Linked DNA regions of Callithrix jacchus. The protein of the gene in region 1 binds, or shares a complex with, the protein of each later gene. Links are inferred from orthologs where the notes say so. Each region holds a gene or a part of one and is shown on either strand. Other genes may lie near its edges.

Region 1 (3,743 bases):
AAAGCAAACTTTTTCTCTTAGCACATCAATAAAATGCTACATTTAAAGGTCCAGGAAATGCACTGGAAAACATTCATGAAGAAATATCTCAAGGGAAATTGGAATTCCCAATTCTTAAAAGCATATGTATATAGCATCTTGATTTTGAATCTAATTAGTCCTCACCAGTACTTATGTAGTTCATATCATTTCTAGTTTACAGATGTGAAAGCAGGTTGAAAAGGTTGACTTATTTCCATTTGAGAAAAACTCTTTGTTCTCCACAATGTATGTAGAGGCTTTAAAAAGCACTTGCAGGTGCAGTACAGTGGCTCATGCCTGTAATCCCAACATTTTGGGAGGCTGAGGTGGGAGGATTGCTTGAGACCAGGAGTTTTAGACCAGCCTAGGCAACATAATGAGAGAGACCCTGAATAGTATATTGTATGTATGTATGTGTGTGTGTGTGTGTGTGTGTATACACACACACACACAATAAATATACACACACACACAGTACACATATATAGCCTATCTCCATATATAGTATATATTATATATACTATATATATAGAAAGGGAGAGTAAAAATAATTTTTAAAAACACTACTTGTGGATATAATTCTGCCTGGCACATAGTAGATGATCAATAAATGCCCACTGTCTGATAAGTAACAGTTTCTTGATTCTTATATATGATTTCTAGCTCCAAAGAGTGTCTGATTCCAACATCTTTGCTTTTTCCAACACCACATACTAAGAGAGAAAGAGACATATCTAACTAATTTTTAAATTCTTACCATAAATCAATGGGACATAAACATTTTGGTTTTCACTATCAACAAAACTTTTGTGTGTGTGTGTGTGTGTGTTTTTGGACAGCAATCTAATGTTAAATCATGCTTCCTGGTTCCAAAACACTAGAAGTGCCAGTTTGACTGGATATCACACCTAATTGGTAGGACAGACATTCAATGCACCAAACAAATGGAACGTTCTCGTCCCCCATCTAAAGCAATAAAGTGCAGAGCAGATCGCTGTCGTGCGCGCTGTCTCTCTCCCTCCCTCTCTCACTTCCTCGCTTTCTCTCTCCCATCCCTCCAACGCTCCGTCCAAGGGTCTTGGTCTCAGATCTCAGTTGCTTCTGCGCCTTGGTGTTTGAGATTTTCTCCTTGACTTACATTGCAGCTGCCTCTCCTTTGCGTTGGCAAATATAAGACCAACAACCTCCCTCTGAAAGTTTTGAGGTTTACTTAGGGGTTAAAAACAAACCCTAGATCTAAGCTCGTATGAGCTGCGTCCGAGTTCATTCAGGAATCCACCTCCTAGACGGAATTCCTCCAGCAACAATTCCAGTTCCATCCCACTTGTACCGGGGCGAGAGAGGTGCATGCACCACGCACGCTTGGGCGCGCTCCCACATACCACAAGAGGGAGAGTCCCCGGCCTTTCCCGGAGCCTAACCTGACGGTCTGTAAGGAGGTCGCACCCGGTCCGCAACCCTTCTCCGCCAAACTTTGCACAACGCTTCGTCCGCAGGTCCAGAAGGGCAAAGCCAACTCACTCCCTTCCAACACCCTCCCTTCCCGGTCTTGCCCGGGCACAACCGCTGCTATTTACCGTCTTGTACCACCAGCTGGCGAATGCCATGGCGACAACCGGCTGGCTCCGATTCGCACGGCGGGGGACCCGGAGAGGACGCGGGGTGCTGTGCTGGGGGCGCCGGGCTCGCACTATGCCTGGCCGGGACTTGGCTGGCACTGAGCTCGGCTCACCCCAAGGCTGCCAGGTGGGCAGAACCCTGGGGGCGGGGCCAGTAGTAGATCCCGCCCCGCCGTGCCCCTCCCCGCCGCGCCCGCCCGATTTGGCTCGGGGCTGGTTAGGGAAGAGGCTCCGGGTCTGCAGGTGGGCAGAACCTTGGGGGCGGGGCCAGTCGCAGGCCCTGCCCCGCAGCGCCCCTCCCCGCCCCGCCCGCCCGATTTGGCTCAGGGCTGGATAGGGAGGAGGCTCGGCGTCTCCAGGCAGCCGCGCCCTGCGGCTCGGCACTAGAGTAGAAGACTAGATCCCGCTGTCTAGTGAAACCTCCCCACTCACTCGGGGGTCCTGAGTGAACCTCATTCCCTTTTCATCCTTATCCTCATTCACCACGTCTCACCAGCCAACTTTTCTCGACGCGCCCCCCACCCACTATACCCAGCCAACGCCACGCCCAGCGCTCTGGAGCCGACCGGGAAACCGCGGCCACCTCCAGCCACCTGCCAAGTGGCGGCCAAGCCAGGAGCCCTCTCCCTGTCCCTCTCCCTGCCCCGCTGGGGCGCCGGGGACAGCAGATCGGCCAGCCCCGCAACGCCCCTGGAGGGCGGCCTCAGCTCCGAGACCCAGTCCCCAGTCTCCCAGCCCCGCGGCACCGACAGGAGCTCCACTCACCTCCTGGGTGCGGCGGGCTGCGGCAGCGCGCCCGGGCCGCGGGGAGGCGGCGGGCTTCCGGCCAGGCTGGGACATGGCGAGGCCGCTGCGGGCGCTGCCTCCGGGAAGGCGCCGCAGAGAGTGGCAGGGAGGCCAGCGAGGGAGGGAGGGAGCGGAGGGCCCGGGAGCGCGCGGTGAGACAGCTTTTCCGACCCCACCCCAGGCCCGCACCGGGGTTCCCCTCGCCCCGTTGGGCCCTCCCCTTCCTGCCCGCGGGGGGACCCGGACTCCTGCCCTGTAACTTAACACCCTCCGCCCCGGTCCTCAACGGGTGACCCTCCCCGGCCCCAGCACTGCTCGGGTCCCGGTTGGTCAGAAAAAAGGGGTTGGAGGTTACAGCGTTCCTCCTTCGATGCCCAGATCGATCTTGCAGTTGTGCAATGAGACAGCGGGACCCGGGCGTGGCCCATCTGCGCTTCGACCTTCCTCCCAAGAATCCGGAGTAGTAGATACTCTTTTTACATTCCGCCCTGCTTTAGCTGAGAGGTTGCCAACTTAAATCTGGCTCAATCCTGGACTGTCTAGATAAGGAAGCGGATCATAAAAACAATTTGTCTGTGTGTGAGTGTTTAAGTGAGGGCACTGGCCTGTGTGTGTTTTATATGATTTTACTTTGTTTTTTTGGCAATTTTGAATTTTAATAAACTTTTATGGGGAAGAGATCATATATGCCAATGCAAACCGGAGAACAGTTCCAAATTTTAAACCGTTATTAAAAGGTTATAGTCTTTCTGCAGTCTGGAGGGTTCTGTTTCTGAAGCTAGATTGCTTTTGTCTTGGGCTCATCTTAGCACTTCCTGGTTTGGGGTTGGAAGTGAAATTTAACAAGCCCTACTAGGATAAGCTCTTGTAAGAGACTGTCAGCCTGCAGTTGCTGCTGGTTCACCGTCGGGCCTGACAGAAAACCTGTTTGTTACCCTGCAATAGCAACATCATTTTGGGACTTGGGGTCACAGCTGTCTGCAGGATTGAGGTTTAGACAATTGAAGAGAGAGAAAGTAGATTCGTTTTGTTTTGTTTTGGAGTCTCAGTGTTGCTCTTCCGCCCAGGCCGGAGTGCAGTGGCGCGATCTCGGCTCACTACTGCAACCTCCTGCCTCAGTCTCCTGAGTAGCTGGGACTACAGGCGCGTCCCCACACCCAGCTAATTTATTTATTTATTTATTTAGTAGCTAATTTATTTATTTTTAAGTAGAGACGGGATTTCACCACGTTGGTCAAGACTGGTCTTGAACTCCTGACCTCAACTGATGCACCCACTGCAGCTTCCCAAAGTGCTGGGATTACAGGCATGAGCCAC
Region 2 (3,743 bases), on another chromosome or scaffold:
CTTCACAGTTGCAGGGTGGGGACGTCATTTAGCCTCTCCAAGGCTCACTTTTCCCATCTGTAAGATGGGGACAGTATCAGTGCCTTCTTCACAGTTGCAGGGTGGGGACGTCATTTAGCCTCTCCAAGGCTCACTTTTCCCATCTGTAAGATGGGGACAGTATCAGTGCCTTCTTCACAGTTGCTGGTGGGGGCGTCGTTTAGCCTCTCCAAGGCTCACTTTTCCCATCTGTAAGATGGGGACAGTATCAGTGCCTTCTTCACAGTTGCAGGGTGGGGACGTCATTTAGCCTCTCCAAGGCTCACTTTTCCCATCTGTAAGATGGGGACAGTATCAGTGCCTTCTTCACAGTTGCAGGGTGGGGACGTCGTTTAGCCTCTCCAAGGCTCACTTTTCCCATCTGTAAGATGGGGACAGTATCCCGGTTGCTGGAGGATTGAATGACATGTTGTGTGCAGAGACGGCTTTTGGCTCCAAGTTCACAGCAGCTGCTGTCGCTTCGTTGACTTCACTACCTGACCCTCTGCTAACTCCCCGGGGGGTGTTTCCTGGGCCGCCACAAGGACCCTGGCCTCCGGGGTCCCCAGCCTTCCTCCCCAGGGGCCGGGAGGGTGGCCTCGGGTTCCGGTGGGAGCCCCCCCCGTGACCCCGCGCGATCCCGGGATTGGGCCGCAGATGGCAGCACCGGCCCCGGGCCGCAGCGGTCCGGTCCCCGCGCGGTGCAGGCGGCGGGTGGTCCCGGGCCGGGCTTGGCTGAGGCCACACCCCGCGGGCCGGGCCGCTTCCCTCCGGTGAATCATCGCTCGCAGCTGGGGCGCCCGCGGAGTCGCCCGACCTTGCTCTGCGCAGTGCGGCCGCCGGGACCGCAGCATGGCGGGGATCGCGGCCAAGCTGGTGAGGGACCGGGAGGCGGCCCAGGGGCTGGGCTCGCACGAGAGGGCCGTCAAGTACCTGAACCAGGACTACGGGGCGCTGCGGGACGAGTGCCTGGAGGCCGGGGCGCTCTTCCAGGACCCCTCCTTCCCGGCCATGCCCTCGTCCCTGGGCTTCAAGGAGCTGGGGCCCTACTCCAGCAAGACCCGGGGCATCGAGTGGAAGCGCCCCACGGTAGGCAGAGCGCGCGGCAGGACGCGGGCAGGGCGGGTGCAGCCCCGGGGCTGCAGTGGGGACCCCGCAGGCCCGCGACACTAACGCGCCGCCCGAGCCCGGGACTCCGTTCGAGCGTGGGGGGACCCCGGGGCCTGCCCTCTCTTCCACGCACCGAGCTTTCCTGGGCGGATCGGGCCGAATCACTGCCCTCAAACCCCACTCGCAGGCCCGCCAGGGGAGCGGCTTTAGGGCTTCACAAAAACTCGGGGTGGCACAGGAGGCCGGGGTGAAACTGAGTGGACTCCAGCGGGAGCTGGAAGGGGAGGGGAAGCGGGTGTGCAGGGAAGGGATGGTGAGAGGCAACGTCTACCAGAGAAAGTCTTGTCTCTAACCCGGGTTCTGTCTGTTCATGGAAGGCGACAGGCCGCAGCCTGGTAATTTTGTGACTAAGGATAGTCTCATGCAGCCCTGAGGTTAGATTTATTTTTCCAAAGGGCCAGGGAAACCTCCCCATAATGTTGACACTGGTAATTAACCGAGGACACGGAGGTGCTCCAAGGAGCCAGTGTCTCATGATTTCCCTGGCGGGAATCCTCCGGGAGGCCTCCAGACCCCCTTATCCTGCCCCCCTAGGGTCTCTGTCCTCCCTTCCCTGGGACACCTTCTGCTCCCCAGTCTATTTGTCCACTCCGTTTCCTGGACAACCCCTGTGGCTCTTCCTCCTGTGAGACACTTTCGCAGGCTTCTCCCGCCACGCCTAGCAAAGCCTGCAGGGAAGTGCAACTTCTAGATCCCTGTTATGAGAACAAGCCTTCCAGCTCTGCTTCCACACCCGGCAGCCTCACAGGTCACCTTGTGACCCTAAATCCAGCCCGCTGGTAGCGAGGTCTGCAGCAAGCACCCTAGCCTAGGCTTGGAGCACTTGGGTTCTTCTTGCTAACCTGCCGGATGACCTTGAGTGAGTTACTTAACCTCTCTGTGCCTCCACATCTTCATCTAAAAGAAATCACTCTGCCTAGATATTTTCTCTCTTCTGTGGCCCACAGGCCCGGCCATCCTGCCTCCTTTCAGTCTCTCAAAGGGCCAGTTCTTTCCTGCATGAGGCCCTCTCACCAGCAAGGCACGATCCTACCTGGGTTTCTGGAGTGCAGCTCACTCTCATTCTTTCCAACTTAGTCACACGTTCCCTTCCCAAAGAGGTCTTTTCTGACCCTTCTTAGCAGCCGCCTCCCCTCCGCCTGGGTATTCTCTAACTCACCCCATGCATTTCCTTCCCAGCATTGTCACACTTGAGAAATATAATCACATGTATTCGTTCTTCCTACTGAACTGCAGGGATCATATGTACATTATTTACCAGAATATCCGCAGTGCCTAGCACGTAAGCATGCCTTTCACAGCATTGATTGAGCACCTCTTACATGCCAGGCACTGTCCTGAGAGCTCAGGAGATACGGTGTTGAACACAGAAGAAGTGACTGTAGAATGAGTGGATGCAGGATTGTAATGAGCCTCACATGAAATCCTGGTTGTGAAAGCGATACACTGACTCAACAGTGTCTCACGACGATAATCCCAGCATTACGGGAGGCCAAAGTCAGAGGATTGTTTGAACCAGGAGTCTAAGACCAGCCTGGGCAACATAGTAAGACTTGTCTCTATAAAGACCATCCTGGTCAACATGGTGAAACCCCGTCTCTACTAAAAATACAAAAATTAGCTGGACATGGTGGCACGTGCCTGTAATCCCAGCTACTCGGGAGGCTGAGGCAGGAGAATTGCCTCAAACCAGGAGGCAGAGGCTGCGGTGAGCCGAGATTGCGCCATTGCACTCCAGCCTGGGCAACAAGAGCAAAACTCCGTCTCAGGAAAAATAAAAAAATGAGACACAACCCAAGAGAATGTGTTCACTTTACATTTGCATGTTTACACCGTGAGTTCACACACTTATTCACTTACTCTTGCATTCATTCAATAAGGATTTCTCTAATCTCTACTATGTGCCAGGCATAATACATATAGTTCCTGCTTCTGAAGACTTTTTTGAGGCTAGAGGGGACCGAGACAGGTCCCCCAACAGCCGGAAATGCCTGTGGGACTTCCAGATGAGGATATGGAGGTCTAGAGATGGTGGAGGGCCACTGCTTAGAGCAGGCTGCACTGCACAACCAAGTGAGAGTGTGACTATTACTCTCCCCATTTGCCGGGTGAAGAAACTGAGGCTTGGAAAGGTTAAACACTTGCCCAGAGTCAAGCTTGTGTAGGGTGTGAATCCAGGGCTGTGTGTAGTCTGTGCATGTTGAGCCTACCCCTCATGGCTGCACTCCCTGTCTCCATCCTACCTTCTCAAATGCTGCAGAGGTCAGGCAAGAGGAGCACAATTGTGTCCACTGGATTTGGACATTAGCAAGTCATTGGTGACTTAGCAGAGCAGAGCAATTTCTTTTTTTTTTTTTTTTGAGATGGAGTTTTGCTCTTGTTACCCAGACTGGAGTGCAATGGTGCAAGCAATTCTCCTGCCTCAGCCTCCCGAGTAGCTGGGACTACAGGTGCGCACCACCATGCCCAGCTAATTTTTGTATTTTTAGTAGAGACGGGGTTTCACCATGTTGACCAGGATGGTCTCGATCTCTTGACCTCATGATCCACCCGCC
Region 3 (3,743 bases), on another chromosome or scaffold:
TAAACACGGTTGTGTGCTATAGCTCACGCCTGTAATCTGAGCACTTTGGGAGGCCAAGGCAAGTGGATCCCCTAAGGTCAGAAATTTGAGATCAGCCTGACCAACGGGGTTTCGCCATGTTGGTCATGATTCGCCATGAATCTCGCTGTCTCCCAGGCTGGAGTGCACATGGCGTGATCTTGGCTCACTGCAACCTGTGCCTCCCCAGTTCAAGCGGTTCTCTTGCTTCAGCCTCCTGAGTAGCTGGGATTACAGGCATGTACCACCACGCCCAGCTAATTTTTTGTATTTTTTTTTTAGTAGAGACCGGGTTTCACTATGTTGGCCAGGATGGTCTCGATCTCTTGACCTCGTGATCCACCCCCATCGGCCTCCCAAAGTGCTGGGATTACAAGCGTGAGCCACTGCACCTGGCCATATTTTTTAAGTAAATAAAGAAACCAGGCCGTGCCCAAAGGAATCTTCCTGTGTCTGGGGGCTTTTGAGACTGGCATACAGAGGATACCCTTTGGGCTGGTCCAGCAAACAACGATTCTGGTGGCCCCTGACTGGGGCGGGGGCGTGGTAAGGAGAGCTTGGAAGGAGGCGCAGGCCCTGCCTGCGGTTTGACTGCCATCCGTGCTGCTGCAGGCACCCGGAAAGGCAGTCCAGCTTAAGTCCTCGCCAAAGACTCGAGCGTACGAGCCAAACCATACTCCAGGCCTCCAGGAGCTGTTTGTCGCGACAAGACCTGGAGAGGGCCGTGCGGAGTTCCTTAGTGAGTGGACCGAAAACCGCCACTCTGGAAGGGTATAGGCAGGCCCTGGGGCGAAAATTCACATTACGACACTGGGAGGGGGCGGGTCCCCTCCGAGTTCTAGTCCGCTGGCGCCTCAACCCAGACTTGAGGGGTGTGGTTCAGACCCCAGCCTACCGAGTCAGAGCGAGTTTAGGACCTCCAGAGCTGGAAACGCGCCGGGAGGAGTCCAGCCAGATTCGCGTTCCGCTAGCCTCGGCGGGTCGGGGAGCGCATGCGCAGTTTCCACTTCGGCTCTAGGACCGCGCGGGCAACTGCGGGGCCGCGGTGCAGAGTCTGACCGGAGAGTTGCGTCCTGAGTCACCGGCCCCGCCCTTCGGAGCCGGACGCAGCGGGAGGCCCGGGAGCGGCAGTGGAACGGACCCCACGGGACCTCCGGACCTGTGCGGTGGTAAGCGCCCGGCCCGTACCCTCTCCCCACCCTGCAATTCCGGCCCTGGCGGTCCCCAGACCCGGCGAGACCGTGAAGTCTCGGCCTCGGGTCCCCAGATCCATGGTCTCATATTCAAACCCCAGACATGTTCGACCCCCTTTTATGCCGTCCCGGGGACCTTTCCCCACCCTCTGTCTCATGATCCAAAATGCAGGCCCATAGATTTCCGAGATACCCCTTGAATTCTTCCTTGGTGCGTTCTGAACCGCAATCGTAGATCTGTGCCCCCAGTTCCAGCGGGGGACCCCATTATCCGGGACCCTAGGGATCACAGCCACGATCTTAGACCCGAGCCCACAGACCCAAAGGTGACACTGGAATCCTGCCGCTGGGAACATCTAAATTCTCAAGCCCGCATTTGGGATTTCCTAAACCCCGCCCTGGGGCCCTTTAGGCCGTGGATGTTTGCTCCGCGCCCATGACCCGCCAGCGACCTCTCCATTCAGTTCCGTCGGGCACGCCTTACACCAACTTGGAGTCCCCACCAAGAGGACCCCCACCAGACCCGCACCCTCCCCTTAACGCGTGCACTCAGCCCAGGCTCCCTCAAGCCCCACGGATGCCTTTTAGACCCCAGGAGGTTGCAAACCTGATTCCCCGTTCCTGCCCCACCCATCCGAGGACAATTCTCCCTCGCAGGCTCAGACCCCCACCGGGGGCCTCAGATTCCTCCTGCTAGTCCAGCTGCCGGAAATGCGTGTTTGAGGGAAGGGTGTGGGCTCAGGACGACGCAACCACTAGTCCCTTTTTTCCCCCAGCAGTGAGTCGCAGCCATGTTCCTGGTTAACTCGTTCTTGAAGGGCGGCGGCGGCAGCGGCGGCGGGGGAGGCGGGGGCCTGGGTGGGGGCCTGGGGAATGTACTTGGAGGCCTGATCAGCGGGGCCGGGGGCGGCGGCGGCGGCGGCGGTGGAGGCGGAGGCGGTGGAGGCGGCGGTGGCGGTGGAACGGCCATGCGCATCCTAGGCGGCGTTATCAGCGCCATCAGGTGAGGTGGGGACTATTGAAGGGGCGGGGCCTGTACGCGGGAGGAGCCTCAGAAGGGGCGGGGCCTGGGGAGGAGCGTAATTTAACTAGACTAGAATAGAATTAACCTGAGGCCGACCTGGGTACCTGAATTAGGCCGGGGTGGCCTGGTTTGGGAGTCCTATAAGAGGGTGGACCCCAGTGAAGGTGATACCAGTCCTTGGGGGCAGGACTTGATATGGGGGTGGTCTGATTGTGTGGATCCAGGACAATGTGGTCCTCAGGGCACTGATCTGGAGTTTTGGGGGCGGGGCTTATGGATCTGGGCCCGGCCTGTATTGGCTACCCTGGAAACGAACGTTAAAGGGGCGGAGCCAATGCGTCTGAGTGACATTTTACGGACGGAGCTTGACTTATGAGTGCGGTGAGAGGTTTTAGGTGGGTTAATGAGGATGTGAGCCCAGGAGAAACCAAGGCCTAATGAGATAGGAGAAATAGCCCAAAATGGGCTGGGCCTGCTGGAAACTGGCTGGATTCATGTAGAAAAATGTCCTGATAGGGGTAGGGCAGGTTTGCCTAATTAGCCATGGCCACTTAACAATGATCCCTTGAAGGGGCGGGGACCTGTGGTTGGATGTTGGGAAGATAGCCATTTAAGAAGAGGGCCATGGAGTAGGGTCTTGGACAGATGGCACCTAAGGAGGATGAGGCCTTGGGAAGCTGGGGCAGAGCCTCTATAAAGTGAGCTCTCCAAGGGGCAGGGTTTGTTGATTCTGTGTGGGATTTTTAGGTCGAGGGTGGCCAAGATGGCTGGAATCTGCCCTTGGGTAGGTATGCCTGGCAGGAGTGGAGCCTCCCAGGGGACTGGTCTCTAGGTTTCCTCGAGGGTAGGGTTGGCCTGATGAAAGGAGAAGGGGGGCAGGACCAGGGCAGGGTGGATTAGGACAGGTGAAGGCAAGAACAGGTAAGGGGCACAGCAACCAAGTAAGGAAGGTGGCCTCGGGGCCAATGGTTCTGCCCCTCTGCCCGTTGGAGGCCCCGCCCCAGGCGCTAACCCCTCCCCCTTATCTCTTCGCAGCGAGGCGGCTGCGCAGTATAACCCGGAGCCCCCGGTAAGCCCCCTCTGCAGCCAGCCAAACTTCTCCCTCCAAGGCCTCTTCGAGGTCCCATCCCTGTACCTGTAGGGAAGCCCCACCTTCCACCACTTCTTGTGACATTCCTCTGCCAGTTCTTCCCGGGCCATGTCCGCAGCTTCGCCATGGGGTTTAGCCATCCCTGACATACACACTCCCCATTCGCTGCCACCCCTCATTCTTTTTCTCATCAAGCCACCCAGCCCACTATGACTTCCCCACCCAGGGTGCCTCAATGTGAGGAGCTGTCCTGGGCGGGTCCCCTACCCCCACCAGCTCTGAGCTCTCCTCCCTCTCTGCAGCCTCCACGCACACATTACTCCAACATTGAGGCCAACGAAAGTGAGGAGGTCCGACAGTTCCGGAGACTCTTTGCCCAGCTGGCTGGAGATGTAAGTAACCTGGGGTCCCTGGCCCC

What was found.
Region 2: the proteins of CAST (region 1) and CAPN2 are in contact, whole or in part, in a crystal structure (PDB 3BOW), measured with the Rattus norvegicus proteins. The link is inferred for Callithrix jacchus from reciprocal best matches to the Homo sapiens genes CAST and CAPN2. Residues at the interface, in NP_445747.2 of Rattus norvegicus: Glu571, Leu572, Asp573, Ala575, Leu576, Asp577, Glu578, Leu579, Ser580, Ser582, Leu583, Gly584, Gln585, Arg586, Gln587, Pro588, Leu596, Asp597, Asp598, Lys599, Val600, Lys601, Glu602, Lys603, Ile604, Lys605, Ala606, Glu607, His608, Ser609; in NP_058812.1 of Rattus norvegicus: Glu62, Leu63, Ser68, Lys69, Gln99, Gly100, Ala101, Leu102, Gly103, Trp106, Lys161, Asp162, Leu165, Leu166, His169, Ser196, Gly197, Gly198, Thr200, Ser241, Asp243, Ile244, Thr245, Asp249, Ser250, Glu251, Ala252, Val253, Val259, Lys260.
Region 3: the proteins of CAST (region 1) and CAPNS1 are in contact, whole or in part, in a crystal structure (PDB 3BOW), measured with the Rattus norvegicus proteins. The link is inferred for Callithrix jacchus from reciprocal best matches to the Homo sapiens genes CAST and CAPNS1. Residues at the interface, in NP_445747.2 of Rattus norvegicus: Pro652, Ile653, Asp654, Ala655, Leu656, Ser657, Asp659, Leu660, Asp661; in NP_058814.1 of Rattus norvegicus: Phe103, Leu106, Gln109, Leu110, Ile125, Lys128, Val129, Arg132, His133, Leu136, Phe166, Trp170, Lys174, Gln177, Lys181.

Annotation. Positions count from the first base shown.
Region 1 is NC_133503.1:113,951,424-113,955,166, forward strand, and holds the start of CAST (calpastatin), read right to left. Parts: upstream 2,617-3,743; 5' UTR 2,481-2,616; coding exon 2,406-2,480; intron 1,741-2,405; exon of another isoform or gene 1,629-1,740; coding exon of another isoform or gene 1,599-1,628; exon of another isoform or gene 1,443-1,598; intron 1-1,442.
Region 2 is NC_133520.1:5,086,401-5,090,143, reverse strand, and holds the start of CAPN2 (calpain-2 catalytic subunit), read left to right. Parts: upstream 1-822; 5' UTR 823-870; coding exon 871-1,107; intron 1,108-3,743. UniProt on the Homo sapiens protein: Calcium-regulated non-lysosomal thiol-protease which catalyzes limited proteolysis of substrates involved in cytoskeletal remodeling and signal transduction. Proteolytically cleaves MYOC at 'Arg-226'.
Region 3 is NC_133523.1:32,291,476-32,295,218, forward strand, and holds the start of CAPNS1 (calpain small subunit 1), read left to right. Parts: upstream 1-1,093; 5' UTR 1,094-1,187; intron 1,188-1,987; 5' UTR 1,988-2,002; coding exon 2,003-2,214; intron 2,215-2,568; exon of another isoform or gene 2,569-2,607; coding exon of another isoform or gene 2,608-2,630; intron 2,631-3,270; coding exon 3,271-3,304; intron 3,305-3,627; coding exon 3,628-3,717; intron 3,718-3,743. UniProt on the Homo sapiens protein: Regulatory subunit of the calcium-regulated non-lysosomal thiol-protease which catalyzes limited proteolysis of substrates involved in cytoskeletal remodeling and signal transduction. Essential for embryonic development.